Linked DNA regions of Tamandua tetradactyla. The protein of the gene in region 4 interacts with the protein of the main gene of each other region in a pairwise test. Links are inferred from orthologs where the notes say so. Each region holds a gene or a part of one and is shown on either strand. Other genes may lie near its edges.

What was found.
Region 1: the proteins of MTUS2 (region 4) and uncharacterized protein LOC143659047 interact in a two-hybrid assay, tested with the Homo sapiens proteins (2 studies listed by BioGRID and IntAct). The two-hybrid records come from large-scale screens. The link is inferred for Tamandua tetradactyla from reciprocal best matches to the Homo sapiens genes MTUS2 and ZNF224.
Region 2: the proteins of MTUS2 (region 4) and ENKD1 interact in binary tests that used the Homo sapiens proteins (3 or more experiments, as listed by UniProt). The link is inferred for Tamandua tetradactyla from reciprocal best matches to the Homo sapiens genes MTUS2 and ENKD1.
Region 3: the proteins of MTUS2 (region 4) and CDK18 interact in binary tests that used the Homo sapiens proteins (3 or more experiments, as listed by UniProt). The two-hybrid records come from large-scale screens. The link is inferred for Tamandua tetradactyla from reciprocal best matches to the Homo sapiens genes MTUS2 and CDK18.

Annotation. Positions count from the first base shown.
Region 1 is NC_135342.1:20,258,693-20,265,856, reverse strand, and holds the start of uncharacterized protein LOC143659047, read left to right. Parts: upstream 1-4,148; 5' UTR 4,149-4,173; coding exon of another isoform or gene 4,174-4,195; coding exon 4,196-4,198; intron 4,199-7,164.
Region 2 is NC_135342.1:61,397,954-61,405,267, reverse strand, and holds the start of ENKD1 (enkurin domain-containing protein 1), read left to right. Parts: upstream 1-4,303; 5' UTR 4,304-4,311; coding exon of another isoform or gene 4,312-4,416; 5' UTR 4,417-4,704; intron 4,705-4,952; 5' UTR 4,953-4,967; coding exon 4,968-5,052; intron 5,053-5,181; coding exon 5,182-5,376; intron 5,377-5,924; coding exon 5,925-6,097; intron 6,098-7,055; coding exon 7,056-7,181; exon of another isoform or gene 7,182-7,285; coding exon 7,286-7,314. Other genes in the region: C16H16orf86 (uncharacterized protein C16orf86 homolog), read right to left, coding at 2,747-3,183, 3,261-3,478, 3,870-4,036, 4,312-4,416. UniProt on the Homo sapiens protein: Microtubule-binding protein which regulates microtubule organization and stability. Promotes the stability of astral microtubules and facilitates the proper orientation of the mitotic spindle.
Region 3 is NC_135330.1:63,230,000-63,237,660, reverse strand, and holds the start of CDK18 (cyclin-dependent kinase 18), read right to left. Parts: upstream 3,012-7,661; 5' UTR 1,973-3,011; intron 1-1,972. UniProt on the Homo sapiens protein: May play a role in signal transduction cascades in terminally differentiated cells.
Region 4 is NC_135330.1:194,043,868-194,051,385, reverse strand, and holds the start of MTUS2 (microtubule-associated tumor suppressor candidate 2), read right to left. Parts: upstream 3,017-7,518; 5' UTR 2,828-3,016; intron 1-2,827. UniProt on the Homo sapiens protein: Binds microtubules. Together with MAPRE1 may target the microtubule depolymerase KIF2C to the plus-end of microtubules. May regulate the dynamics of microtubules at their growing distal tip.

The DNA.
Region 1 (7,164 bases), on a different chromosome or scaffold from region 4:
AATATTTTCTGTTCATTCCCAGTTTCAAAAATAAAGTTCCCATCATTTCAACATTGTTTTATATCCATTCAGTTTTTCATATCTACCCCTTTTCTTTGTTATTCTCAGCACAGCTTCATCAATTTTGTTGTTTTTTTTTTGACAAGGTCATCTTTGGCCTTGCTTGGGGGGGGAGCGGGAAAACCACTGTATTTTGTTTTGTACTTCATTAATCTACTCTTAATTATTTTTTTTCCATTTACTTTCTGTTGTTCATTAGTTTCCTTAAATGGATGTTTCCTACTCCATTTTTCAGCTTCCGCTGTATTTTAATATAGGCATTTAAGGCTCAATATTTCCCTCTACGTGTTAAAATCTCCCAGTCTAATTATGCGTTTGTCTTACTCTGTTTCTGTTCATTTTTGTTTTATAAAATATGAGGTCAAATTACTAGTTTATGGTAACTTCGAACGCTGATTATTGTGTGTGTGTTATGTCTCGGAATGCGTTTTCCCTTAAAGTCCACCTTGTCCAATATTAATATAATTTTTTTAGTTATGGAAATAATTTGAGGTCTAGGATGATGATACCTTTCTCTAGAGGGTTTTCATTTGTTTCTGCAAACGGCCAGAAGATACTAACAACCCCGCGGTTCACCTTTATGCACTATCAGGGACTGAAGTGTCCTAACGCTGTTGACACATTTGCATTAGATCGGCACGGCCTTAGTCCGGAGACCTCCTCGAGCATTCCGAGAAGTAAAACCAGGAGCTCTGATAACTGGAAATCTCGGGGGGTGCGGCTTTTCTATTTTCCTCTTGGATATCCCAAGAAGAGTAGTCCAAGACAGCGGTACTGTGGGAGTGTTTGCCCAACTGGCACTACGTAGCACGCACTCCATGTAGTCTCACATACTTCCGCTATATGAATGAGCAGCTCCACACGTTTTCCTGGCACACATTCTGAGTACAAGTCCAAGAGCTCCTCAAGCTCTTCAGCTCAAGGAGGGCGGGGCTGCGGCATTCTGGGAAGTGTAGTCCAGGAACTTCGAATAGTCGCACGCACTTCCGCCCCGACGAGGACAAGGTAGTAGCCATATTTTTGCTGGTTATGGTGACTGAGGTCATTCCGCGCGACGCTTTCGAGCCATAGCCCATGGCCTTTCGTTTGGAGCGATACAGGAGCAGCTGACCACGGAGGTTTGAGGGGTGAGGGCGGCGGGTTGCGTTCGTCTGGGTGGAGCTTCTTCGCGTTTGGGGTGTTTCCTTATTGGGGTGAACACTGGGCATGCTTAGCTGGGTTCGGAAGTCTCGAACAGTGTCCCCGCTTTCCTACCCACTTCCGCCACCTGTATGCTACCCCTTCCACGTCACACGTTTAACAGTGGACGACTTACTTAACATCTCTTTGCCTTTGTTTGCTGTGTTCTATAAAAAAGGAATACTAATTAGGTGTTTTGAGAAAAACGAGATAGTGATTAAAAGTTTAAAACTGCCAAGCACATGAATTATTGTTATTAATAATTATAACACTCCTAGAAGCCCCTGTTTGGCAGTGAACCGCTGTGATCCCAGGAAGCAAGATTGTTCTGGACCCCTTCTGATCTTTTTTTTTTTTTTTTTTAACATTTTTTATTGTGAAATATATACCAAAACGTGATTAATTTCAAAGTTCAGTTTAATAAGTAGTTATAGAGCAAATTTCCAAGTATAGTATGGGTTACAGTTTCACAGTTTCAGGTATTTCCTTTTGGTTGCTCTGATACACTAGAAACTAAAAAGAAATGATTCGGTAGTCCTAATCCTTTATTTAATCCTAACTTCTCTGTTACAACTCATCCCTCTTGATTATTTTCTCAATCTTCAGGGATATTTTCTTCTTGAAAAGAGCTGTTAATATATGGGGTAGGGGAATGTACTGGTTGATGTTCTGGGAGAAACCCATACCTCTGAGTTTCAGAACTTACCTGGTATAGGAACAATCTGGAGGTTTTAAGTTTCTGAAAAATAAATTTAGTAAGTAAAAACTTTTATAGAGTCTTAGAGCCCTAGGTTTCTTTAAGGTTTTCAAGAAAACTTTTGGTTGTGGCTTGGCATACTGTGGCAATTTGTAATTTTTGGCTGCAGCTTGCATTAAAGTAATCTCCAGAATGACCTCTGGACTCTGAAATCTATTAGCCACTGAAACCTAATTTTGTAACAATTATTTTTCCCCTTTTGATTGAGCAGGCATTCATGATCCCAGGATGCCAGGGCCCAGCTTATCCCTGGAGGTAATTTCCCATGTTGCCAGGAAAACTTTTATCCTTAAAGTCATGTCGCATGTAGGGAGGAGGGTAGTGAGTTTATTTGCAGAGTTGCATTTAGACGGAGGCCACGTATGAGCAGCAAAAAGGTTCTTTGGGGGTGACTTTTGGTGTATTTATAAATAGGCTTACCTTACCTTTAGAAATAAGTTTCATAAGAGCAAGCCTCAAGATTGAGGGCTTGGCTTATTAAATTGGGAGTCCCCAGTGCTTGAGAGAACCTCAGAAATTTTCCATTTGGGGAAGTTTAATAGTTCTGTATTTTTTCTCCAGTCCCTCAAGGGGCTTTGCAAATACTTTTAAATTATCTGCTCAAAATACTGTGGAATGTACCATGGCATTATTTAAGCTATGCAGAATCAACAGATCTCATTCTCTATTCTAGACTCCATGGATTTAGATTGTTTAAATAAACTGGCCAGATAGGTTAAGCTAGATTGTGTGCTACAGAAAATTTAAATTTTGGAGAGAATTAACATGTCTTCCTTTGGTCTCACATAGAAATTGAAGCTTTAACATACAGACAACATCATCCTTTACCCTGTATCCTGATTTGCCTTAATTCCAAATAGATCAGCTTTATTCATATCTCTAATTGGAGTTTGATCTCTTTTTCATTTTCTTTAACAGTTGCTGTATGGAGTAATGCTGATTTGCAGAGTTGTAGAACTCTAACTCTGAGCCTTAGGTGTCATACAGGTACCTATAGCCCTAGGTATATACCAAGTTATATACTCAAAGAACACAGCATCTTAAAATTCAGGAAATAATGTGACTACTGTAAGAATTTATAATCCAGGCCCTAGTTTTTTAATAAACGTTTTCTAAATGAAAGCATACAATATTTGTCCTTTTGTTTCTGGCTTAATTTGCTCAACATAATGTCCTCAAGGTTCACTCAGCTCTGATACATGCCTCACAACTTGATTCTTTTCTGTAGCCGCATAATTTTCCATTGTATATGCATACCACAGCTTTCCCTTCCGCTTCTCAGCCTATGGACTCTTTGCTCACCTCCATCATGAATAATGCAGCTATACACATCAGTCTGACCTCTGTTTTGTGAATGAGGGAGTTGCCTGTTATGGAAGGATATTACTGATTTATTAAGGGTGGAGACAGAATCTTGGATTTCACAGCCTTCTTTCCTTCCCAGCCCTGATTTCTCTAAAAACACTATACATAGGAGGGGTCCACAGGTAGCAGGTCCCACGTGAATAGGACTTAGCATTCTTCTGTAAAGATGTTCACATGATTTGGAGAACACGTGGGAGATGTTCTTGGCCGTGGGTAATGATAATTATTCTTTGGTTGCTAAGTTCCATTCTAAAGGCCTTATATAAATCACACAGTTCCAGCAGACAATGACTTTTAAAATGGTTAAGTACTGTTCTTTTACACTGTAATTTTACATTTGAGGAGTGTGAGACACAAGAAGGATAAGTTAGTTGCCCATGGTCACCCAGCTAATAAGAGGTGGAGAAGGAGTTAGAACCTAGGCTGTCTGAGTCCAGATCATAACATTCATAATCTCTTTGGTATATTCCCCTTGAGCCAAAGGGATCTGACTGGAATCAGGTAGCAAAGTAGGATGGAACTTGGTTGTGGGGAACTTAAAAGCAAGGTTAGTGTGTTAAATCTATTCTGTGAGGGATTTTTTTAAATATAAATGTATTCTCAATTAATTCATTTTACTTCAAGTAATCATATTATAGAAGCAACATAAAACCATTGTGGAAATTCAGAAAACATAAAATAAAAAGAAAATTGTTAAATTATCCTTAATCTTAGGATGTAAAGATAACAATTGCTAATATTCTGATGCATTTTTGTTTAGTTAACCTTTGTGTATATTTCCGTTTAGTGGCTGTTTACCTTTGGACAGGAAGATGCTGCACTGCTATTCAAACTATGGTATACAAACCAATGGCTTCAACCTGGGTAGAAATGCTCATCCTCAAACCCCCCAAGACTTCTTGATTTAGGATTTCTAAAAATAGGACCTCGGAATCTGTAATTTAATAAGATCTAGGGGTGCTTTCTGTGCATGTTAAAGTTTGAGAAGCCCAGGAAAGGTTCTTTCCTGGAAACTCAGGCCTAGAAACTAATCCAGCTGGGTATCACAAATAAAACTGAATCAGACATGCCGGACCTACCTCATCCATTGAATTTTTTCCCTGTAAATATCATGAACTGTCAGGTCTTCTTGCACATTCTTGACATAAGCAGAAGGCAGCTGGCAAGTATAGAGGCAAAGTGGAGGGAATTTTAAGTTGTGAAGAAATATTTCTCCCAGGCTTTATGGAGTAGATTCATTGCCCTCTTTTTGCATTGAAGGACTGCTACCTGAGGTGGGAAGATTGCATAGTCGCTGCAGATAGCGTTAGATGTCATTGGTATCGTTATTATCATCATTATTGTTATTGCTTTTGCTGTTACCATGACTGTTTCTTGATTTGTTAACTTTTCGTTATAACTTTAAATTTACAGAAAAGTTGTAACATAGAGTAAGAAATTCTCATATTCTCCTTACCAGGACCCACTGTTTACGTTTTGCGTATTTGCTCTGTGGATGACTATCAGTCAAATACCACCAGGAAGATAAATGTAATCTAAGATGTTTTTGTGTTTTTTAGCTTGCTGCAGCAAGGAAGCCCGTTCAGTGCAGGGAATAATGGGATATTTCAGTAAGAGGCAGTTAGGAGGGGGCTGGTTATTGGGTTTTGACTAGTGTTAGCTTAGTTGGGAAAAGTTTTAGGTAGCAATGGTTTGTTCAGGGTTCAGTTCTGTCAAGAAGCAGGTGCAATTCATGACTGGATGCAGAAATAATACTGATCTAAATGCTGTCAAGAAGCAGGTGCAATTCATGACTGGATGTAGAAATAATATTGATCTAGAAGGTGGGAGAATCAAAGTGAGTCTGAAGTTGTTGGTAAGGAAGCATAGTCTCGTGTTTGCTGAGAGAGTCAGTCATTTGGTCGTTTTGTCATTGTAGATTGTTTATCTGTTACATGATTCTGGCCTGGGCTTGTTTTTTCTTATTTACCATGATCACTGAGTGACCCTGTCTCATTCTTCTTGATCAGTTGAGAACACCAAGTTCTATCTGCTGTCGCTATTAGCTATCAAGCTGGATCATGGTGAGGGGGTTCTTTACAGCTTTATGTTTGTATTTTTTTTTTTTGGTATGTCGTGTAGCAGGGTCACATTTCATTATTTTTCCATGTTAGTATCCTCTTATTATGGCACCATTTTCTTGATTTTTTGTTTGATTTTTGGGAAGTGCATGGACAAGAATCAAACCCAGGCCTCCTGCATGGCAGGTAAGAATTCTACCACTGAACTATGCTTACACCCCTATATAAATTTTTTTCTAAATGATTTGAGAATAAGCCAGAGACATGGTGCCTCTTTGTCCTTAAATATTTAAGTGTATGTTTCCTAAGAACAAGAACATTCTTTTATATAATCACAGTGCTATGATTAAAATGAAAGTAATTATGTGGATAACATACTGTTGGTTTAATCCACAGTAATATTTAAATTTGTTCATTTTTTCCCAATAAAATCTTAGAGCTATTTTTCCTGCAGTTCATTTATATGCATGGCACTTAGTTTTTACATTTCTTTTTTTTCATGTTTAATCAAGACCAACTCCTCAACCTTTATTTTTCTCTTTTGCTCTTGACATTTTTCAAAGCAAGTTATTCTGCAGAATGGCTCACTTTTTGGGGTTCTGATGTTTGTCCATGATTAGATTCAGATTATGTATTATCAGCAGGGATATCACAGAAGTAATGAGGCCTCCTTCACTTTTCATCCTTTGAGGCTAATGATATTGGTTTGTTGCAATATTGATGTTCTCAACTTTGTTCTTCTGGTTAAGGTAATATCTGCCAGATATGCCACCATATATTTACTATTTTTCCATTTGTAATTATTAGTATTTTGTGTGGAAATACTTTCAGACTATGTAGATGTCTATTCCTCATAAATCTTTCACTAGTTTTTAGCATCCATTGATAATTTTCTATCTTGCATTCTACTTTTGTTAGTTTGCATTCTACTGTAGGAGGATCTTTCTCTTCTCACCCATTTGCTTACTCCCCCTCCCCACAAGGGCTTTTAGTCAAACACATACAGGGCTTATAGTGACAACTTGCTCTTCTCATTTTGAGTTTTCTCTAGCATAGTTAATAAATGCCCAAATAACCCAAATAATTGACTTTGTATGGAGGTATGCTATAGTCACAGAACACTTTTTGTTGGTAAACACGCTGCCCAAAGCACCTGAACACAGAACTTTTAACTATTCACAATTCAGTGGTAAAAGGGCAAAGTTACTCTCAATAAAGGGAGCATCAGACAGAAGATTTTCACAATCATACAGTTACATTGTAAAAGCAATATTGTCATACAGTTGTCTTTAAGAATCAAGGCTACTGGAACACAGCTCAAAAGTTTCAGGTACTTCCCTCTAGCCACTCCAATACACCATAAACTAAAAAGGGATATCTATATAATGTGTAAGAATGACCCCTAGGATGACCTGTCAACTCTGTTTGAAATCTCTCAGCCACTGAAGCTTTATTTTGTCTCTTTTCTCTCCCGCTTTTGGTCAAGAAGGCTTTCTCAGCCACTTGATGCTGGGTCCTGGCTTATCCTGGGATTTCTGTCCCGTATTGCCAGGGAGATTTACACTGTTGGTAGTCATGTCCCACATAGTGGAGGAGGGCAGTGAGTTCACTTGCTGCAATGGCTTAGAGAAAGGGACCACATCTGAGCACCAGGAGAGGTTCTCTGGGGGTGATGCTTAGGCCTAATTATAAGTAGGCTTAGCCTATCCTTTGCAGGAATATGTTTCATAGGGGTGAACCCCA
Region 2 (7,314 bases), on a different chromosome or scaffold from region 4:
GACATGTGTCTCCTTGAATCATTCTGCCTCAGCATTTTCTCTAGAGTGAGCTTCTAGGATCAGTAGTGGGTAGGGACTTGTTCCTTTCTGTGGCTCACGACACCAACCCCTATTTAGACAAGCTTGCCAGGTAATAGCTTACCAGTAAATGTAGACTGTTTTCTCTTCTATGATCACCTTGGGGTATTTCTTACCTCATCTGTAGGAAGGTCAGGGACTGGAACTTCCTTGTCGGTGCTGGCCTTGTCCATACCACACAGAGAAAGCCAATTCTTGGCCTTCTTGGGATCAGGTCTTAGGAGAGAACCCTCAGGCCCATATGTTCTGCAGGACTCAGGGAAGGACAGGCCTCACTGGATCCCAGGGTGGGGTCTCATACAAAGGCTGCTTCTGCCCAGATACTTCTTTAGCCATAGAGTGAGGAGGTCAAGCTCCATTATCTTGAAGGGCCCTCTACCTCTGGAAAATCCTGAGGATCTGAGCTCAGCCCTGTGGATAAAATTGAGTCTCAGGACATTTTCTCCTGGGAGGGTCAACTCATTGCACTAAGGAAAACTGGGCAGAAAGTAGAATGAATATCCTGACTGCATGGCCTGCCCTTTGGCCTTGCATAGGACCAGTAAGCATCCAAGAAACCCACAAAGGAGGGAGCAGCATGGGATGATGCTAGGAAAGGAGACCATGTACTTTTCCTTCCTCCTTCCTCTACCTGGGCCTGCCTACCTCATGCCTTCTGATGACCTAATCAGGCCATTATTCCAGGGGTGCTACACATGGTTCTGGACTTCGGATAGCCTCAGCCTTTCAGATCCTGATCTGACTCTGCAGCTCCCTCAGCTCCTCATCTTAGTCTCCCAATCTTGCAGCCCTTGTGGGTACCCTCTGCTAGGCAGATGTAATGCAACAATGTTGTTGCCTTTGGGAGTTCACAGTCTAGTCAATGGCACTAGTATGTAGATGTTATAATGCAGAGGCAACACTGGACACTGCCTGGCCATGCAGGAAGTGAGTGCCCTGAGCCAGGTGAAGGGGTGAGGGGCAGGGGAAGCCCTACATGCAGGTAAGAAAAGATGGGGCTGGTCAGGGAATTAGAGTAAGCCACTGAAAAGTTTTGAGGCAACCGGGGCAAAAGAGGCAGATGCTAGAGGGGAGTCATACTATCAGGGGTTCAGGTGCATGTGTAGTAGGATCACTGAATGGACTGATGGGGAAAGTGAGACTTTCTCCAGGAGATGACAGTGTCCTCAACAAGGGTGCTGTCTGTGGGTTCTGAGAGGTTCTCAATCTGAGAAGGTAGATTCTCTGGCCTTAATGCCTGATTGTAAGAGTCAGAGAGCAGGGTTGAGTCTGAGACAACATCCAGGATTTTGGGCTAGAACAACTGTGAAGATGAAATGCAGGAGAAAAGGCAGGTTAGAAAGAGAAGAAATTATTCATTTAATTTGGAGTTCCCTGCATCTAAGGTGTCTGGGGGATACACCAGAAGACCAGGAGGCAGCAGAATGTGAGGGTTCCCAAAATGATCATAATGGCCAGCTCTTTCCAGAGGCTCCAGAAGGCTGGAAGCAGCATTCATTGATGGTTTGGCTGCAGGATTCCTGGAAAGACATTCACATCCACCACCACCCCCTCTTAGTTTCTTGGGCTGCCATAAAAAGTACCACAAACTGGGTGGCTTAAAACAATAGGAATTTATTATCTCATAGTTCCAAAATAAAGTGTAAGCAGGGCCATGCTCCCTCTGAAACCTGTAGACAAGAATCCTTCCTTGCCTTTTCTAGCTTCTGGTGGTTGCTGGCAATCCTTGGTGTTCCTTGGCTTGTAGCTGCATCACTACAGTCTCTGCCTCTGTCTCCACATGGCCATCTTCTGTGTTCTCTCTCTTCTTATAAGGACACCAGTCATAGTGGGTTAGAGGTCTGCCCTACTCCAGTATGACCTTAGCCTGATGTAATTCTATCTGCACTGTTTCCAAATAAGGTCATGTTCATGGGACCAGGACTTGAACAAGTCTCTTGGGGAGACATAATTCACCTCATAAGTCCCTCCCTACCAGGAAAAAGGCACCAACGCCTCTGGCACCAGGGACCACTCCTTGGGCAAGGTCTGGTCCAGCTCTAGTCTTGCAATGTGTGGAAAGTGTTCTAAAGCCAGCTACCGGAGGGGCAGGCAAATGAACTCTGCGACCTCACAGGGGGTGGGAGGAGATCACAAGTGCTGGTCCCCTTAAGGTCAGAACAAATGCAGGCCCCCTCCCTGGAAAACGGGGTAAGGCCAAGCACCTGCTTGCCTTACTGACCCTTACCTTTCTCTGCCCCAAGTTCTCCTTATTTCCCTCCCTCTCTGCAGCCTCCCTCTGCAGCTTCCCTGACCAGCAGATTCATCTGAGGAACTTTTAAATATATGGAACCCAAGCCCCACCCTGCAGATTCTGATTTCAGTTAAGTCTGCATAGCACCCGGAAATCTGTATTTGTTAAGTTCCCAAGTGATCCAGGTGACCAGTAAGGCTTCAGAGCATACACTGGGGAATCCTCTCACCCTTCTTCCCAGCCTCTTTCCCTCTTCAGTTGTCTTATTTGGGGAATCACAAAGTCTGAGAAAACGAAAAATTTTTATTGTCAGCGAACCCAAGGTCCAGCAAGTGTGGTCAGGAGCCGAATTCCCCTCCCCCGATTCTTCCTGAGGGCCTAGGCCCACAGGCTGCTGCTCTTGGGGGAGTGGCAGCCACCAGTGGGGTGGGATAGTCACTTGTACTGAGGAGATAGTGGGGGCACAAGTGGAGCAGCACAAACACTCAGCATCTTGTCGATGTCCACCTGGGTCGATTTATCCACCTCAGCCTTCAGCTGGCTGCAGGACTTCAAGCTGGGTACACACCCAGACTCCTCTCCAGCCTCCTCTGCCAGGAGAGCCAGGGCATGGGTGGGGGCCACTAATGTACTGGGGCAGGGCAAAGCAAGGCCTGAGCTGAGCTCACCTGCCACGGGCAGCAAGGCCTGCAGTTGCTCCACTCCTGCCTCTTCAGGGACTATGGCCAACTCTGAGTCAGGCTCCACCTCAGCCTCCGTCTCCCTGTCCCCCTCCCCTCCCTGGTTCAGCTCAGGATTGTAATAATTGATGTACTGGTACAGGGGCCGCAGACGCTGGGCTTTTCCTGCAAGGACCCGGGGCAGGGAAGAGGCTGGAGCGCCAAGGTGTGCCATGTCAGGCAACCTAGTAAGCAGGGGTAAAAGGGGAGGCCCAGAGGCTGCCACTCACGCTCCAGCCTCAAGGTCTCTGAAGGTGCAGACACTGTGCTGGCTGCAGCTGGGTGTGCTGGAGCCCCCAGACTCTTGCGCTTCTTGACTTTTTTATGCTGTTTGGCAGATGGTGAGAGTTCGCTCTGGCTGCCCTCTGGCTCCTCCCTCTGCAGCAGTGGTCCAGGTGGCATCTCAGCTTCACCTCTAGGATGGGCATTGTGACTAGGTCCTGGAAGGCTGGGGTACCAGAGCCAGGGACAGGAGGCCTGAGGTGGCATCTCCACCCGCTGGCTCCCATGCCCAGGATCTAGGGATTGCCCTCCTTACCCACTACCCAGGATCAGATAACTCTCCTTTCCTGGTCAGTGAGGCCCCAGGCTGGACCAGGGCTCAGAGCTCATGTGAACTCAGTCCCCTCCAAGGCCTTGAGGCTCCTCCTCTTTTGGTGCTTCCTACACCAGGGCTCTTGAGGGACAGAAGGAGTGGGGGTGATGATGGTGGTGGTGGCAAGAGGACAAGTTTCAGGGGGACAAGGGGACTCTGCAGGAATGCAGGCTTTAGGAATCCTAGTGGAGTGTCAGTCCCATCCCCCAGCCCTGAAGCCCCTTCTCTCTCAAAGCCCCCTCACTTGACTGGCTTCCTCTTGGGACTCTGACCAGGCCTCACAAGAGAGGCCATAGGCCTGTGGCCTTTCTCCTCCAGGGTGTCCTCTGGCTTCAACCTCTCCTCTGACTTGAGTCGCTTTTCCTGGAGCTCTGGCTCTGAGGCTGATTGCACTGGACACTTGTCTTCACCCTAGGGCCAAAAAGCCTCATTGACTGGTACCAGACACTGGTCTCCTGTCACTGTACACTAGATGTGGCACATAGGTAATTGGTCACTCGACTAGACAAAGGATACAGGAATCAGACTTTAGATATCAGACACTCTATAAAAGGCACCGATGTGCCCCTTTCCACCAGTGTAGCGGGTCTTGGAAGTTACAGGGCCTGGATCCCCAAAAGTTTGACCCTCTATGCCCCAGGGGGCCTTGGCCTAAGTATTTGAAGTCTACAAGGACCGATGGTCACCTCAGAGCTCTTAGCACGGTGACCCGGCGCCTGGGTGAGTGGTGCGGGCCCCACGGCAGTTCCCTCCTGGGTCCCCAGCCGCCTCTCCGCCCCTGCTGAGGCCATGACTGCGTGGGGTCAGCACATCCTCGATGGCGGCTTACGGGGACGGACCCTATTGGTCGGTTTGGCGGACCCCGCGCTGACCCGAGAGAAGGGCCTGGAGGCGAGTGCCGCACTGGAAAAGGCGACTGGCAGCCGTTCTACGCCTACCTTCAACTGGAACTGCAACTACAAGCCCCAGAAGGCTTTGCGCCAGGAGCACTCACCCTTAACCTAAGGGACGGAAACCACTGTTGCTAGGCAACAGCAACTTCCCTGGTCGCCGCGACAGCGGGCTACAGAACTGCTCTGGTGAGACCCCGGCTTGGGTGTTGTGGGGGAGGGGCCGCGAACAGGGCAGGAAAGTGGGCTCCGATCGGATGTCGCGGAGGTGGCGAGCGTGGGCCAGGACTGAGGAGCGGGGCGCGGGACGAGAAGGGGGCCGGGAATGGGGTGCACAGCTGGGGTCAGCGTCCGGGTCGGTGGACGAGGCGGGGGACTAGAGAGGGGATCCAGGGGCCGGGAATACGCAGCCGGGAGGCCTCGGTGCACCTTTGCAGGGCAACGGCGGCGGCATGTGCGAGGGCCTGTCCCGCATTTCGGGGCCCATCCCCCCGGATCCTACGCTCTGCCCAGATTACTACCGTCGGCCCGCCTCTGGTGAGTCGGGAGCCTGGCCGCGGCAGGTTGGGCCCGGGGCCGGCGCCTGCGCCTGCGCCTGCGCCTGCGCCAGCTCCGAGACTGAGCCCGGCGCTCCTTCCCTCCCGGGCCCTTCCCTCTTCCCCGCAGCCCAAGGGCGCCTGGAGGGAAATACACTGAAGCTGGACCTGCTGACTTCGGATCCCGACCTGGATGCCGCCCTTCTCCGCGGCCCCTGTATCGGTCCCGGAGCTCGAAAGATACAGGAGCCTGGCAGGCGTGGTGCGGGGGACGTGTTGCTGCAACTCGGGGGCATCTCTCTGGGCTCAGGGGCCCCTTTCAAGAGTAGGTCCCGGGAAGGGGGAAGAAGGGACAGCCAGACGAGTCGAATCGGAGGTCTAAAGCGGAATGAAAAGCGCCCACTCTTTCCCCGACCTAGGACAGGCTTCTGCCCCTCTTGAGTCAGTTTCCCCAACCATAAAAGCAAGAAAACAATCCACTACCTCTTCGCAGGAAAGGACTGAAGGAGGTAGTCCCGGGGAAGCCCTAGCTCAGCTTCAAGCATTCATGCATTAATGCAGTGCTGTTTTTTGAGTGCCTACTGTGGGCCAGAATTTACAGGTGCTAGAAAAACAGGTGAAGGCAAGCAGGATCCATCATGATCAAGGTGGGAGACGAAACAAAGAGATAAGTATGTACAAGATGATTGATGGTATTACACAAAAACGTAAAACGTAGTCAAGGATGGAAGAGTATTACTGTGTAAAGACAGGAACTTAGGTGGAAAGGTCAGGTAGTTCTTTCTGTGGGAGGGGTGGGCCTGTGTGTGAATGGGAGAAAGCTGGATTGCATGGGGGGTATGTAGGGCAGGGCCTACAGCATCTCTTCCCCAGGGAAGGACACCAAAGACCATGAGAAGGAGAACCTGAGGCGGATCAGGGAGATCCAGAGGCGCTTCCGCGAGCAGGAACGCAGCCGCGAGCAAGGCCAGCCCAGGCCCCTGAAAGCTCTGTGGCACTCACCCAAGTACGACAAGGTGGAGTCCCGGGTCAAGGCCCAGCTACAGGTACCTGCCTGGGGAGTGAGAAATAATATCAAGCTTGCCCATCAGCATACAATTATATCCTGATCTGGGTTATGGGGAGGGAAGAAATCACAGGGAACTTAAGTGACAGAGGACTGAGAGATAACTGGCCCTGCTACGGGGTAGTACTGAGGACCTTCTCAGAAGTGGTAATGGCTGGACTGATCCTAAGGGACAAGGAGAAATTAGGCAAGAGGAGAATGGAAGAGAACATTTCATAGAGGGAAAACCTCCTAGGTAGACATCCTGAGGCCAAAAGTCGAGTGGACAATGAGGTTGCTGGGTGCAATTAATACTGAGGGAAGAAGAGCACAAGGTAGGCTAAGAAGTCAGCAGGACCGACATCGTAAAGGGCTACATATGTCACCTTCAACCTTTATTTCTGAGGGTAGCAGGAAGGGTAGGGGTGTGGTGGTAGGATTCTGTCTTTCCTTGAACAGGGACTTCAGAAGGAAGAGCAGTGTTGAGAGAAAAGAAAACAAGGTCACATGTGGATGTGCCAAAGCTGAAGTGTTTGTGGGACTGCTGGGGGACCCACAGGAAGCAGGTGGCTATTCAATTCTGGATCTCGGAAGTGAGACCCAGGCACTCCAGAGGATCATATTGAGGACGATAAGACCAAGGAAGTGACCCTTGGGTTTGAGGGCATGGAGGTCAGCTGTCAGTGAATTTGAGTGGCCAGAGCCAGGAAGCTTGGCTAAGAAGGGGAGAGAAAGTAATAGCTAGAGCAGGATTGAGACAAAGAGGGGTGGCTTGTTGTTTTCTTAAAAATATGAGAGACTCACACAGGTTTAAACATTGAAGAGAAGTGTTTCTGTAAGAGGGATGCCAATAGGGACTGGGATAGAGTTCCTGAGAAGCAAGAAAGATGGGCATGGTCTTATGGCTTGAGATCTTGATATCAGTCTGACTGATCCCCCTTTTGTGCCCTGCCCTCCAGGAGCCTGGCCCTGCCTCTGGGATACAGTCAGCCCATTTCCTGCGGGCACACTCCCGCTGTGGCCCTGGGCTCCCACCACCCCGTGTCCCCACTTTTCCCCTAACCCCAGCAGGTCCCAATGCCAAGGTGAGAAGACGCATGGGGGCTGGGAACATGTTGGGCAGAGGTTTGGGGGCGCTCTAGGCACAACACAGTGTGCCTGCCCCCTCCATGTTTGCCATGTCCTGCAGGGGCCAGGCCCAGGTGTGGACTTCATTAG
Region 3 (7,661 bases), about 130 Mb from region 4:
CAGCAGGCCCCAGGCTCTGGTCAGCTAGATTTCCCTATCCGTGGAGTACCTTGGCCTGGATGGCCCTCTGGCACCTCCCTGCCTCTTCTCCAGCTATTCCAGCCCTCTCTGCCTCCAAACCCCCCTCAGAAAAGCCTCTGAAGGTCTCAGAGTTGCTCAACTGCTCTCAAATTGTCCCCTGGGTCAGGGCCACCCATGCAGCCAGAGCTCAGGCCCCTCGCAGGAGGAACTGGCTTATTCCAGTCACGTGGTCATTTCACAGGCACCTGCCCCATGGCAAGGCCTCCGCCTCATACTCCCCTCTCTGGCCTCCTTGTCCTTCTCCTACTTCTTTCTCCCTGCAGGGCCTTGTGAACTCGCCTTCTCTGTCTGTCCCCTGTCTCGTGGGCCTCTTGGCCCTTTGCTCTTCCCCATCTACACACTTTTCCTGGGTAACCTCATCCTCACCCCTGGGAAACCACCACCCACAGGCTCACGCCCCCCAGATCCACAGCCCTGGCCTCCCCCAGCCCCCCGAGCCTGGGCCTAGAGACAGTCCTGGAGACAGCAAACAGCTTGACCGAGATGCACTTCCAGGTGAACAGGGCACGTGCATGCAACTGGCAAAAGTTGTATTTGTGATATATATACACGCCGCGTCACATACAAACAACATACAACCCAGGACAGAAGTCAAACATTCACAGCAGCTACATGTGGGTGGTGGGATTACGGGCAACTTCAATGTCTTCCTTTTGCATATGTGCATTTTCTAGGCTTTTTCATCATGAACATAGACTGCTCATGTAATAAGAAAACATTAACACTTGTTTTTAAATGAAAAGGAAGTACCTTTATATTGCTATTCCAGAACTGTTTAGAGTGAGGCTTAGGGAGAACCATGATTATCTTGAATGGGGGTCAGTAAACTTTTTCTGCAAAGGGCCAGATGGTAAAAACTACAGGCTCTGCAGGCCACACAGTTTCTGTCACAACCTCTCAATTCTGCCAAAGTGGCACAGACAGCCACAGACAACACGTAGACGAGTGAGCATGACGGCCTCCTAAGAGGACTTTACACTAAAATTTTAATTTTATATAATTTTTAAGTCTCACGAAATATTCTTCTTTTGATTTTTTTTTTAAATGCTCAAAACATATAAAAGCCATTCTTAACTCATGGGCCATACAAAAACACGTGGTAGGTTGAATTTGGCCACACGCCATGATTTGCCAAACCCTGCCCTTGAGCATTCAATATCAGTGTGGTGGTTTGGAGCCAGCATCCACTTCTTTGGAAGGTACTCCTTCTCTGCTCTCAGACTGAGGGTGAGGCCTTCTAGGGTTTCCTTGCACGTGTGAATTGTGGCAAGGACTAGGTATACGAGCCTCAGCTGGGGAAGCCCCTGCAAGTTTGAGGAGCAGAAGGTTTGAGTGCCTTCTGGAATCTCAGAGCACAGCTCACCTTGTTAGCAGGGCTGGAAAAAGTTGGTACTGTAAACCAGCAGTCCTGGCTGGGGCTTTAGAAATCCCTTGGTCTGTGCCCTCAATTTTCAGGTGATGATGTGAAGACTTAGTGACCTACCCAAGGCCACCCAGATTGATAGGGGAGACGTGAGATTAAACTGAAGGCTTGTGACTTTAAATACAATGTCCTTTCTGCACCCCTGGGGCCACGAGTGATGGCAAGGGTTGCACTGCAAGGGCCTATCCAGAGATGGCATTCCCTCCACTGGGCACCATTGCCAGGGAAGTCAGCAGCCGCTCATGGGCCACCTTGCATAGGAAGAAGATGTGGCATGTGGCACTGCACAGAATGTGGTGACCAGTCCAGCCTGGGGTGGGAGTGCCGGCTTGGTTCTATGCCAGCAGCAGGGAGGGGCTGTGACCCCTCTGCTAGCCTCACCCTGCTCCCTGCTGGGAGAGTAGGTCTGGGCCCCCAGCATAGCTTACATGATGGACACTGTCCACCAGCACAGCGTCTTCCACCTACCTGCTTCCAGGCGGTGGGTTCTGCCAGGACATAGGGAAGGACAGCTTTGTCCCCCACAGGGCCTGGTCACCTAGCAATGGGCTCCTTTTCTGGGTGGCAGGGGACCAGAGGAGAGAAGATGCCCTGGTTCCTGAGGGAGGAAAAGACAGGCTTCTTTAGGGGAGAAAAGGTGTGTGGAGCTTTTCTGGAACTTCCCAAGGAGATGATAAATGGAGAGGGCATGAGGGAGGGTGGAGACGTTTTAAAAATAGAGCCCCCTTTCCAATTTGGGACCTAAGACGTGGTTTTTACAGAAAAATACTGGGCAGAGGCCAGGGTACTGAGGCCTGCCAGATGTAGCACACTGATTCCATTTGCCCTCATTGGTAATGCTGTTAGGTCAGACCAAAAGCTAGAGGTATCGCGAACATTCTCCCACTTGGGTCCTCTCAACCACACGTGGTAATGCTACTATTCTTTCCATTTCACAAAGCAGGAAACTGAAAGTAGGATGAGCAAATTACTCCACCTAAAGTAACCAGTTACTAAGTAGCAACGGCAGGATTTGAACTGACCCTAAAGTCCATCAATTACCTCCACCTATGGTGGAAAAGAGACGCATACTAGGCACATCAGTAATGAATGAATGCATCAACACATCAGTAATGAATGAATGCATCAACCAGCCCTATTGGGTCACCTTGTCTATACCCAATCCCTCCGCCAGGGGAGATGTTACTTAACGTCAGGGGGTGAGGGGTGGCATGGTTGGCAGGGGGCGGGGACCCGTCATCAAGAGTTCTAGGAAGGAGGCTCTCACCACTGTCTCTTTGAAAGTTCTGGCCAATGTTTCCCAGACCAGGGTGCCCTCACCTCGATCTCACCAGAGATACTCATGCTGCCAGGGAGTTTCAAGACCCCTTCCAGGTCAAAGCCAAACCACGCAATGTCCTTATCCCCCATCCCTCCCCATTTTCCTCAGACAGAAGCATGGAGATTTCAGGAACATATGGGTTCTCCTTCAGACAGCAGGGCTGGCTTAGATGCACCTACACTTTTCCCTCTTCCTGCTCTGCTGCTGTGCCCCTGGCCCGCTCCGCCAGCCCCAGCCACCAGCTCTGCAGCAATCCCGAGGCCCCAGACCCTCCACCTGAGCTGCCCTGGGTTCTGCGGGCACACGTGTGTGTGCATGCATGCAGCTGTGCTGGCCAGGACAAGCCTCACCGTGGTCTGTTCCCACCTCCTGGAGATGGGAAAGAGCCCATTCAGCAGCTGATGCCTACAGAGTGAAGGCGAAGGGTCCAGGGTGGAGGGAAGGGGCACGACAGGACACAGAGTCAGGAGAGAGAAATGTGACTCGTTCCCAAAGAGGTGAAGCTAACCAGGTGGGTCTGGATCCAGGCCAGCCACTCCCTCATGGTCACAGAGCAGAGGAGGGACCTCAGACCGGGCAGAGGGTCTTTTACTCCCGGGGAAGGAGGCCTGCCCGAGGCTCCTCAGAGCAGGAGGCTGTGGATTCGTCAGGCCCCAGTGCTTGCCTCACTCACATGCTGGAAACTAGAGGGCAGAGCCCACCAGGTCACGATTCCTGGTCCCCTCCTGGCAGGTTCTATCCTCCCTGGTCCTCTTTCACACGGCTCCCCCTTACCCTGGAAGAGCAGGTTGAGGGCTGAGCCTAACATGGGAGAAAAACCAGCCTCTGTCTCTCCCCCAGAACTGGGCACTGTACAATGGCCAGGGAAATCCCTTTTAAATAGCCACCACCACCACTATAGCTTCTGGCTACTTAGCATCTGCCATGTGCCAGTTTGGTCTGTGCTGGTGCTAGAGTCCAACAAGATCCCGGGTTTTCTCTTCCCTTGGGGTCTCAAGTTCAGTTAAGGAAGAGGGAATCATGGGAGGGGGCAAGTGGAGGTGCTGCTGACATACAGGGTGGCCCCAGAAAGGCGAGCCCCAGGTGGAGCTGAGAGGAGCCAAGCCAGGCTCTGCCCTACACTGTAGGGCCCGTTGCCCCGCACACAGGGAGGCCCAAGTAGTCAGAGAACCAAGGCTGCGTCTGTAGGAGGAACAAATGCAGCCTTAAAGGCCGGATGGAGAGGCTGCTAAGACAGGCAGGGTGATCCCATGAGATCTCAGATTAGCAACCCACTTTTTTTCTCAGATCTGGTGCCCTCTTTCCTGTGACCCACGGAGAAGTCTGGCTCTGCCTGGCACAGGACAAAGGGAGCTTCATTACTCAGAGCACGGGCCCCCTTCATTCTCCCAAGGAGTGATGCAGAACTAGAGAATCCCAGAGCAGGCCAGGATCACCCCGGATTGAGCTGGGATAGAGAGCAGGGGCTTGGGGTCACGTGGAGAAGGGCTGGACCTCGCTTCTGTGCGACCTCGGAAAGGCTGATCTCTGAGTCTCAGTCTCCTTACTTGTAAAGTAAGGGTAATAATATGTACTCTAAAAGTTGTTGTGACACTTACGGTGTTTAGTATGCAGTAGGTAATCAATAAATGGTAGCCACTGAGACATGCAGAGAGCAGATAAAACTCATTGAAATATACTCTGGCTTCTGGAAACGCCAGGATATTTGGGAAGAATGAACAGGGAGAATCCTAGGATCCTAATGGTCAGTGAAGTCCCAACACCCCCAGAGGCGATGGAGTTGTCAGCCCTACAGGCTCATCGGCTGCACAGAAGGTGGCTGGCCTGGGGCAGGGTAACCCTGAGACAGGGGCTTTCCTGTGGCAAAGTGACCTTCTGCAGAACGCCTTTAGGATGCCGACCTCCACCCCGCAGCCAGCGTTGCTTGGGGATGGTGCCTGGCCTTCCCTAGCTCCACCGCAAAGCCAGGCTAAATAAGGATGATTTCTGCAGGCCCGCTGCCAGCCAGCCAGCCGACTGTCTTCCTCGAAGATTCTGCTCTCTCAGGCCAGTGTCCAGGAACGTGGCAGCGGCTTGACACAGGAGGGGCAAGCAGTGTCAGTGAGTCCCAGGGCCCAGGCTGCAGGTGGGGGTGAGGGCAAGACAGCGGAAGCCGGGGGACAAGGTTCTGGGGAGCTGACCCCCACCCCTCACAACCCTAACTCGTCTACCTCTGCTGCCAGGAAGGGGCTCAGACAGAATTAGAAAGAGGCCACAGGTGCCTAGGAAGGTGTTGACAACTGCCCCCCCACCCCCACCCCCAGCACAGAAAAATCAGTTACCGTCTCCACAGCCTGACTCCTACCAGAAGCCTAGGGACAGTTCCAGGGAACACCCCCCCACCCCCACCCCAACAAAACAAAATAGGGAGACAACGAGGCCTCCAGCCATACCCGATTTCAGATTTCTAATGGTCTCCCCCAAGATAGTAAGAGCAGAGTCCTCAAGCCACGTTTCTTTAGTCCTTGCGTGACCCCCAACCCACCCCCACCTTCCCACCACAGTAGTAACCCCTTGTCTACCGCTGCTGGGCTGGGGCCGATCAGGGACTGCCCCTTTGGTCTTCCCGAGGGGGCACAGTGAAAAGGCAGCACGCTCCACAGGCCTGTCCCTCCTCCTCCCCACTCCCCGTCCCCGTCCCCCCAGGTCTGGGACCAGCAGGGATTTATGCGCCCTCCCCATTCATCCCAGGGCTCTGCCCCCCACCCCCCACACACTCCTAAGCCCCTCCAAGGCGGCTACCTGCCCCCACACTCCTGGGACCTCTCTTTCCCGAGCCTCCTGACCCTTGCCCTTCCCAGAAGGAAAAGCTCTTACATAGCGCCTGGTTTGAGGACTCGGTGGAGAACTTTGCTTTGTAGGATTTGGGCGGGAGCCCGGGGGCCAAAACGGGGTCCTAAATGCAGACTCCCTGGGGAGAGGGGGGTGGATCTGAGAATGAAAAACAGCTCTCCCTCCCTCTCTCCTAAGCACCTGGAACTTGGGAGTGTCCTTTTACGGGGCGTCGCCCACCCCGTCACACACGCGCGACCTGCGATCTCGGGATCTCCCACGTCCCTCCGGTATTTCCCTCCAACCCCTCGCCCCAGGGCGAAAGCAGAACTGCGCCTTTAAGAAGCTGTCCGCTTACCTTCTCTCGTTCACACGGCGCCGCGGAGCCCCCTCCTCCTCCGACCTCCCTGCCCCTTCCCGGGCGAGCCCCCCGCAGAGCCAGCCGGACACACGGCGCAGCCCGCGGGACTCACCGCGCGTGTCCTGGGGGCCGCGGCGCGCCGGCTCCCGCCCACGACGGCAGGGGCGCAGCCAGACTGGGCGCCGTACCCTGCGCCCTGCGCCCTGCCGAGGTCCCTGCCCGCGCTCGGGGCTGCTTCCCCTGCTCCAGAAAGGTGAGCGGCTCCCCAGAGAAGCTGCAACCTGAGCTAGAGGAGGAGGAGGAGGAGGAGGAGGGAGGAGGGGAGGGGAGGAGGGGGTGGAGGAAGGTGGGGAAGAGGAGGGAAGAGGAGGAGGAAGGGAAGAGCCCGGTCCCCGTCAGAGTTTTTCACACGTACAAGTTGACTCCTCCCTCGTCCCTCCGGCCCTGCCCACAGCCGCTGCCAATCCCTAGGGCTCCCTCTGCCCCGGTGCCCACCCCTTTCTCCCACTCTGGGAACCAGGGTCCAAATGCCTCTTCCTGTTTGGTTCCTAGGCCAGGCTCCACCAGCCTTGGGGGACTGGCCCTGAGAGGTCTGAGCAGGGGATGAAGCCCTCTGGACTGGATGACCCCGGGTTTGGGGCTAGAAGACCAGAAGGCTTTGCTGAGCTCCTTTCTCTAAGCACCCTTCTCTCACCTTCTGGGCGGGATCCTGGACCCGCACCTCTGGAGCTCACCTAGGGAGGCAGGTTCTGTTGGTAAATTTTCACCTTTAGAACTCTTGACAGCAGTAGCCCTGGAACTCTCCCTCTGACCTGCCCAGTGGAACTTGTCACTTACCTTTAGGGACAAAGTCCCCACCCTTGTTGGCTCCGCCTCTTGAGTGCTTGAATGAAGCCCTGTCAGCTGGCCGTTCTGACCCTGAACGGTAATCCCTTTTGTCCTTTTGGAAGCAAACCCCAGGGGCCAGCTGAGAATCATCCAAGAAGCCCTACAAAATAAAAAAGTGCTAGTCCAGCTCTCATTTTACCAAAGGGAATATTGAGACCCCCCCAAAAAAAAGGAGATTGGACTGGCCCACAGTGCCACAAGGAGTTGGCCGAGAACTAGAATTAGAACCCCAGGCCAATGGCTGCTCCACTCATACCATTTGCTTACAGGGATTGAAGCAAAACTGGAGGAGCAATTGCACCCCCATCTGGACCCCTTCTAGTCCTGCTTCCCCCTGAAGGCTTTGAGAAGAGGAAGTTAAGCTTTAGCTCCAATGAGCACCAAATCAAGGAAGTCTGCCTGGAGGCATGGCATCTTCAGCCTGGGAGCCCTGGCCGGGCGGGTCTTTGGAGGGGGTGGTCCACCTTATGGATAGGTGTCTGCTTGAAGCCTTTATCCACTGCTGATATGACCTGACTGTCACCTTGCAGGTCCCAAGCTTTGAGCCTGGTGGGATTGCTCGGGGAAGACATCAGCCCGAGTCCCACCCTCAGGCCAGCCTCTGGTCCTGCAACATCACCCTGCATCGAGCCCACAGTATAAGGGAAGGCCCAGATTCCTCAGGAACTGGAGAGGGGAGAAGGAAGGGAGCATTGGACCCATGAGTGAGAGGAATTTTTAGGTGTTTGGCATGGGGCATCCTCCAAGGGCCTCCCGACTCTTTGCTACCCTTGTTT
Region 4 (7,518 bases):
ATGGAGGGATGAGGCAAATGGGTTGGTGCGGGAGGGGTCAAGATATTAAGGTCTGAAGATACCTGAATTCAGGTGTGAACGTTGAAATCGTGTCAGAGATAAAGGGAAAATCCTCAACCCTTTTCTGCAGACATTCCTGTGGTGGACACAGTGAGGCTCCTATTTACTCACCACATCTGCTAATGGGGACAACCAGACGACTCGTCCAGTCCTTCCCAACCTGCACTGGTTTCCTGCAGGTTCTTCTCCAGGTCTGAGTTTGTTCACTCACAGTTTAAAATTCCTATCAGAGACAGATCCCAAAAAGATCTTCTGTGGAGCTGACATTAGCTGTTCCTATCAACTCCTATTAAAGAGGTGTCCCCTTCCTTGGCAGCCCACCTTGAGATATGCAAGTGCTTTAACCCACTTTCTCCCCACCCTGCTCCCATCCGGGTTTTTCTAAGCTTCAGCTCACACTCAGATCCAGGAAAAGTGCCGTTCCTGAGACAGCAAGGCGGAGGGCCGGTTCCCCACATAACCACTGACTCCCTGCCACCCCCCAGCCCCGGGACACAGCAATCTGCATTTCCTCACCTGGTCAACTGCAATACCTCTTTAACTGTCTTTTCACAAGGCTACAAAAGTTAAAATAAGGAAAGGCAACTTTATGGGTGAGCTTAACATTGGCAAGAAATGGAGACTCAAGATTTGTGGAGCCTGAGGTTTACATACTAGGGAAGAGGTGTGGTATAGTCCTTCTTTAAACAGAATGCAAAAGTGCACCTACAGAATTAGGTTTGGCCACGTGGACACGTTGCTGGTGCTCCTCGCAGGAGGAATTCTAGGTGAGGGGCCCCAAAGCTTAAGCTTCATCAGCTTCCCACTCAATCCACCTCTGCTGGAAGACAGAAAGGACGACAGCAGTTTTTACTGCAGCACTAAAATCTCTAGAAAACCACTAAGCATAACAGTTTTCTATTGCATCAGTCCTCTGGATACTATTCTTATCTCTCGTTCACAAACCACCATCGCCGCTGTTCCCTTTAATTTGGCAGCAGCAATTCATTATACAACTGCATGGGCTGGCCTGGGCTGTGCACCCTTCCCCTCTTTTGACTAGCGATCTAGCTCTGTGTCAGTTATGTAATAGCCAAAACACAGTCGCAGTTCTTACATAAGCCTTCAAAATCAGATAGATATTTCAACCAGAAGCCATCTATAAGATATGCTCCCAGATTCGGACATTATACATGAAGTAGACAGAAAACACTGACTTAGCAGCCAGCTTTACTTCTGGTCTTAAAAACAATGAAAGCTCTTTGTGACTTAATTTATTGGTCTATATGAACATAAGGCTTTAAATTTGCTAGAGAAAATCGTCTTTAATAAGCCCTGAATATTTCATCACGTAAGCATAAAAGAACATCTTGACACTACTACTCAACATTCCCTGTTACCCCTGCACAATGAAATGTTCCGCTCAGGATTCCGGTAAGTAATCCCCAGGGAAGTCTGGGTCCCTGATAAAAACTATTCTTTGCAGTGTTTAAAAAAAAAAATTTAAGAAAGATTATTTAGACAAAATACGAAAGTGCACATGCTATAATTCATCAGCATATCTCTTTTCCAATACTTTTCTCTCGCCGTATTTTGGACTGCTTATGTCTGACTTTTCTTAAACCAGGGCAGCCACGCCTTGGCTGACAAAGTGATAAATGAAATAATATTCTCCGTAGCTCTCAACACAGGCTGCCCGGAGAAGCACAGGCAAGCTTTTAACATCACAGATGCCCAGGCACCACCAAAAAGCAATCAGAACAGACTATCAGAAAGAAGGGGCCCAGACATGGCTATATATGATGATTTCTACTTTGGGCTTCCTCTTACCCAAAAAAAAAAGTAGCCAAAAATAAGAGTTAGAGGCTTTGCTGAGGAGGTGGAGGGAGGAAGGTCTCTATAACTGGTAACTCCCAATTACTAAGTTTTCATCAGAGATCAAAACAAAATCTTTCAGAAGTCTGAAACCCATAAAGGACAGCTGTAGGATCCCTCTTATCACTATCAGTAGTAAAGACTCCTAACCAAATTTCATAACAGCATTTACAAAACCTATTTTGCTTTTTAATGCTTTGCAATTCTACCCAATGATTTATTAGAAAGGGCCCATGTTATCTTAAAAGGGTGTCTTCCAGCTAAGTGCACGCTTATCTTCCAGTAAAGTTTTGGTTTAAAGCAGAAACCATGATTCTGACTTATTCTCACCCTCTCTTATTCCACGCTCTGGGAATGACTTTTATAACTTAACCACCGAGCAAATATTTTTTTGAAAGCACTTATATAACAGAGTACAGGCGCCTTTGGTCTCCTGCCAAGAGCACTTCTTTCCGTGTTTGTATTTAAAATAGACTGGTAGTAACATCACTTGTGTGCCTGAAATTCCTTCTGTGCACAGGCTCAGAATGAAAAATGGAGGTAGCAAGCCGCTTGGTCCTTTACAGAGCTTGCCATTATAAAGCTCGCAGGAAATAGCACATTTCATACTAAAATAAGACGAATTCACAGCCCCGATTTTCCAAGGCTGGGGGAAGGTGGCACTCGGTTTCACGAACCTCCCCTCCCCTCTACAGCAGGGATGTCTAACCTGGCGGCACGCGAAGGTGCCCGAAAGGCTGCGACACCCCGGCCCGAGCAGGTGACCTGGGCAGGGGAGAGAAAGTGCCCTCGGGACCGAAAAGCCAAACCAGTGCGGCGCTGCCCCGCACTCCGGCCACCTGTCTCGCGGGGCTTCCGGGGCAGCTGCAGCGCCCAGACGGCCCCCTGCCGAGCGTGCCCCGGGTTCGCTCACCTGCGTGGGAAAGAGCCCGGGGAAGGTCCGAGCGGCCGCCGCTGCCCGCGAGCACCCTCTCACCCCGGGCCAGGCTCCAGGGCGCTTCCTCCTCCTCCTCCTCCTCCCCAGCTCGAGTTTTCCAGCGACCCCGAGGTCTGCGCTCCGCGGCTCCGCCAAGGATTTCAGCCCCGGGGGATCGACAAACTTGGCAGAGAGACCCGCGGGGCGGCGCAGGTGGCGGCGCGGGGGACGCCACGGCACCTGGAGAGCGCGGCCGCGAGACTGTCACCTCCGCCCGCCCCGCCCGGGCTGCGCCGGGAGCGCCCCGCAGCCCCCGCCCCCGCACTCACCTCGGCGCAGGCCCCGCCCGGGCCGCCGCCCCCGCTCGGCGCTGGGGGTCCGCGGGGGAGGGCAGCGGGGCCGCCGGCCGCACGCCCGGGAGCTCCACGGCGCGGCCGCGGCCGCCGGACAAAGACGAGCCGCGGGGCCGGCGGCGGCGGAGCCCGAGCCCCGGCGCGCCCCTCCCGGCTCGCGACGTGCGGTCCCCGCTGACAGCCGCGCGCGGGCGGGCGGAGGCGCGCGCACCCCCTCCCGGCCGCCCCCACGCACCGCCGAGCCCCCGGCGCCTCCGGCCGCCCCGCGGCGCGCGCCTGCCCGCCCGCACCCCGCGCCCCGCGCCCCGCGCCGCCGCCGAGGGGAGAGCCGAGCGCCCTCTGCCGGCCGCCAGCGCCCGCACCCGCGACACCGCCGGCTCCCGCTCGCGGGGGGCCCGTGGGCGCGGCCCCGCTCAGCCCCCGCCAGACCCCGGCTTCGGGAGACCCGAGGGGAAGGAGGAGTGAGACCGAGGGGAGGGGGGACACTGGGACAGATACCTTACGCCGAGGTCACAGCACGTCGGTTCACCCAAGGCAAAAGGTGGCAGCAACCCAAATGTCCACCCGCAGATGGACAAACGGAAGGTGTGTGCCCGCTGGGGAATACCACTCAGCCGTCCAAAGGAATGAAGTGCTGAGACGGGGGACAACGGGGATGAGCTGGAAGACACCATGTTGAGTGAAATAAGCCAGGCACAAAAAGACAAATGTGTGATTCCGTTTCTATGAAATATCTTTAATAAACAAATACATAGAGACAGAAAGTAGATGGGGGTGAGGGAGGAAGGAAGGGACTTAATGCTTTCTGGGTAGCAGTGCTTGAGGGCGTACAAAATTCTTGGTAATGGATGGTGTTGATGGTGCCACAGCATTTGTAATTACCACCACCAAAGTACACTTTAAATGGCTAAAATGGGTTTAAAATGACTGAAAAGCTGGCTAACAGGGCAACAGGGCAGCGACTTCCAGGACTGGCGTTCTTGGAATTATGTACAGCGAGAAGAATTGGGCGACGCATCGGGAAGAACTCTCAGATGGAGCCCAAAGTCGGTCTTGAAACTGTTTGCCTAAAAGGCAAATGTTGCTTTATAGAATCAGGTCTTTATTTCTGTGTTGAATAAGCACCAAGTGTGCCTAACACTGAGAGAGGGATCCGTCAGCCTTGACAGATCGTATGAATAAATCCATCAGTTAATATTTTCCGAAGACCTTGGGGTCCCACCTTCCTCTCCCCTAAGCAGGGCTCCTGAAAGACTTGACAGGGCAAGTGAGACCAGAGAACAGCTGAGCTGTTTAAAAATGCTAGGGTTCAAAAATGTTAGGTGAAATGACAATGTACTAAAGAGTTGTTATTACAAAAATGAAATGATGGTGCTAGTTTCTTGCACTATTTAGGTTTCTGTGTCTTTTAATGGGGATCTTTTTCTCAAACTACTCTGTTAAACAGTATCTTATATCGGCTAATTTTTTTGAACAAGCTGGACTTGGTGAAGGGAAATCTCGAAATACCATTTGATTTTGCCCCCACACTGCTGTGTTTTAAGTTCATTCTATCGGATCTCCCTGCTTCTCTGGAAGAATCTAGGGCAGATTTCATAGCTTTATCTGTCATTTCAGCTGTGAATAGCGAGTTTGGTTCTCTGGTATTAAAAAGTCCAGTCCAATCCAAATCAAAACTCCAATCTCCTCCAACTGCAGCTTCCCCACTCCCCTCCCACCACCTGTCAGCACCCAGAGGACCCACATTCTGAAGGCAGCTGTGGGGAAGACCAACCTTGCTCTACCTCTACCCCACCCCCACCCCGGCTCCAGGCAGCCTCGCTCCTCCAGGAGGTGGGCTGGTGGGGGTGGGAACCCACCTGCCTCCTAGCCTGCTGCTGACTACTCCGAGTCCCACCGCAGCTTCTCTGTCTAGTGGTCCACCTCACAGGGCCTTCTGGGGGCTCTGTGTCCTGGGAGGCAGAAATGGTTCAGACCCAGCCCCCTCCCGCCATGTCTGCTGCAGCCCGCAGAAATCCCCTGGAATTTTGCCTATCAAATTCTAGAGGTGCAGACCACTGCTCCTGCAGGATCCTCTCCTCATTCTGTGGTCACAGACAGCCTCCACCAGCCTCTCTCCTTGAAGCATTTCACGTAGGAGTCAAGGTTAATATATGTCCCCGAACTCCAGGAGATACCTACCAAACTCTCCAGCTAGTTCCCAAGAATCCCACCTTTCTTTGCACTGCCAAATAAAAATCAAATCCTGACCTGGTAAGGAGAGACCCTATTTGGAAAGATGATTTTAAAGGGGGAAGGGCTATTGCAATAGGGAGAACACCCGACCATGAGGTCTGCAAGCATCTCAGGACTGAGGGAAAAGGAGGTTTTCTTTGATAGGAAGGAAAGAACTGGGTGTAGGGTGGTGGGGTGAAAGGGTGACGGGATCAGAGAGTGTTCCAAGAATATTTTATGTCGGGGCAGCCTATTTACTGGGAGGTGCCCTGAAAGTTTAAGGGTCTGGAGGAAGGAGAGACACCTCAGCAGTTTGGTTATAAGCATTTTGTCCTGATTGCCCAGTGGAGTGGCGACATTTAGGAGGCAAAGGACGGGAGTTTGGAGGGTCTGCATCTGGTTTGTCATAGGTAAATCAGGGGGGCATCCCTGAGTCTTTTCTGAGTAATAGGGGGACGGGGGGCTCTTTGCAGAAAGCTGTTCTCCAGAACACAAATGGCAAGGAATCACTTAACCTCCGCTGATTCCCAGGATCACTGGCTCAGGTACAATAAACCCTGTCTGCGTGAACTGGGTGGGTCCTCCCACCTCTTCCCAACACTCTGGACTCTTTCCAGCGAATTCCCACATCCAACCTCCTTGAACCTTGTCTCATTTTCTTAAACTTGGGCTGAAGGTGGCAAGACCCTTACTTAGCAAATCCCACAAAGATGGTGCAGTACCTCGATTTAAAATGTGGAAATGGCTGTCTCTGTGGCCACCCTGGAGGTGTGCTCCCCAAACTACAGGCACGTAATGAACCAGCAGCCTCCAGGGCTCACACCTCCGGGCCCACCAAGGCACTGTGGTGGGGGGGGTCACGCGCCCCCTCCACCCCCCAGCTGTTCCCAGCCAACACCTGAGCCTGGGGGGAGGACTAAAGCTGGCCCGTTTGTGCCCAGTGCAGAACTCTGACCCGCAGCTCTTGCCCAAAAGCTCCTCACAGCCCTACCAGCTTCACTCAGGACTGCAGGACTGCCTGACCGGCTTCCTACACCATCTTCCTTCCTTCCCCTGTCCTTTCTCAGGTGTCAGACCTCGCCAGTCTGATGGCCCTACCCACTTACAAGCCAAGCTGCTTCTCCCTTCCTGCTGTCCTTCCCAGGTGTTTTCTCCAGTACATGTTTTGATCATCTAAATTCTTCCTGGCCTCTGCTTCTCAGAGGTCCAGCTGGCAAAGTCGCCTCTTGTTTCCAGCTGTTCCGAGACAAAGCCCACTTTAATCTCTGGGTATGTTTGCATCTAGAAACTGTGAAGAGAAGAGTAGAAATGTATTTTGATGAAAAAATAAAATGTGATCAACTGGCATTTTAGTTTAGGGTCTCCCTTCCCAGAGCAGAACCTGATGGAAGGACTCAGGGACAGAGTTTATTTCGGGAGGTGATCCCAGAAGCAGCCACAATGAAATACAGAAATCAAGAGAAGGAAGTTTGGAAAAAACAACATAAGGGTGTGGGACACAGGGCGGTGCAGCGGTGGCTCAATGGCAGAATTCTCGCTGCCATGCCAGAGACCCGGGTTCGATTCCCAGAGTCTGCCCATGCCCCCGCCCCCAAAAAAAAAGTGTGGGACACAGGTCCCTGCTGTACACAGCAGACACTCAGTACCGCTGGGTCTCTGAGACACTTAAAAAAGCCCTCCCAGAACTGTCATTTCTAGGATGGGGGTATGAGCATGTTGGGAATCACCTTTGGGGTGTCTACTCCCCTATGCTTCCGAGCACCCAGGGCTTTAAAGAAAGCCTTGAGGCAGAAAAGAAGGATGACCCTGGCAGCTTCCTCGAGGCAGAGCATTGTCAACTTGACTCCCAGCAACCAGTGTTTTGCTCATTAAAGCTGCAGCTGGAAGGCAGCCAAGGAGGTGGGGGCACAGCATCAACAGAGTCTGCTATGGGGGACTTAACCAGACCAAGGAGCAGGCGAAGGTCGCAGAGAGAGGGCAGAGGCATCTGCCTTATGCAACTGCAAACTGCTGCAATGCCAGTAGGAGGACTGAGGAAGAGCCAGTGGAGTGGTGGTTGCAAGTCATGATAGTCACTTGGGCGGGAGACTGGTCTACCCAACAGCAGGCTATTTATTAAGG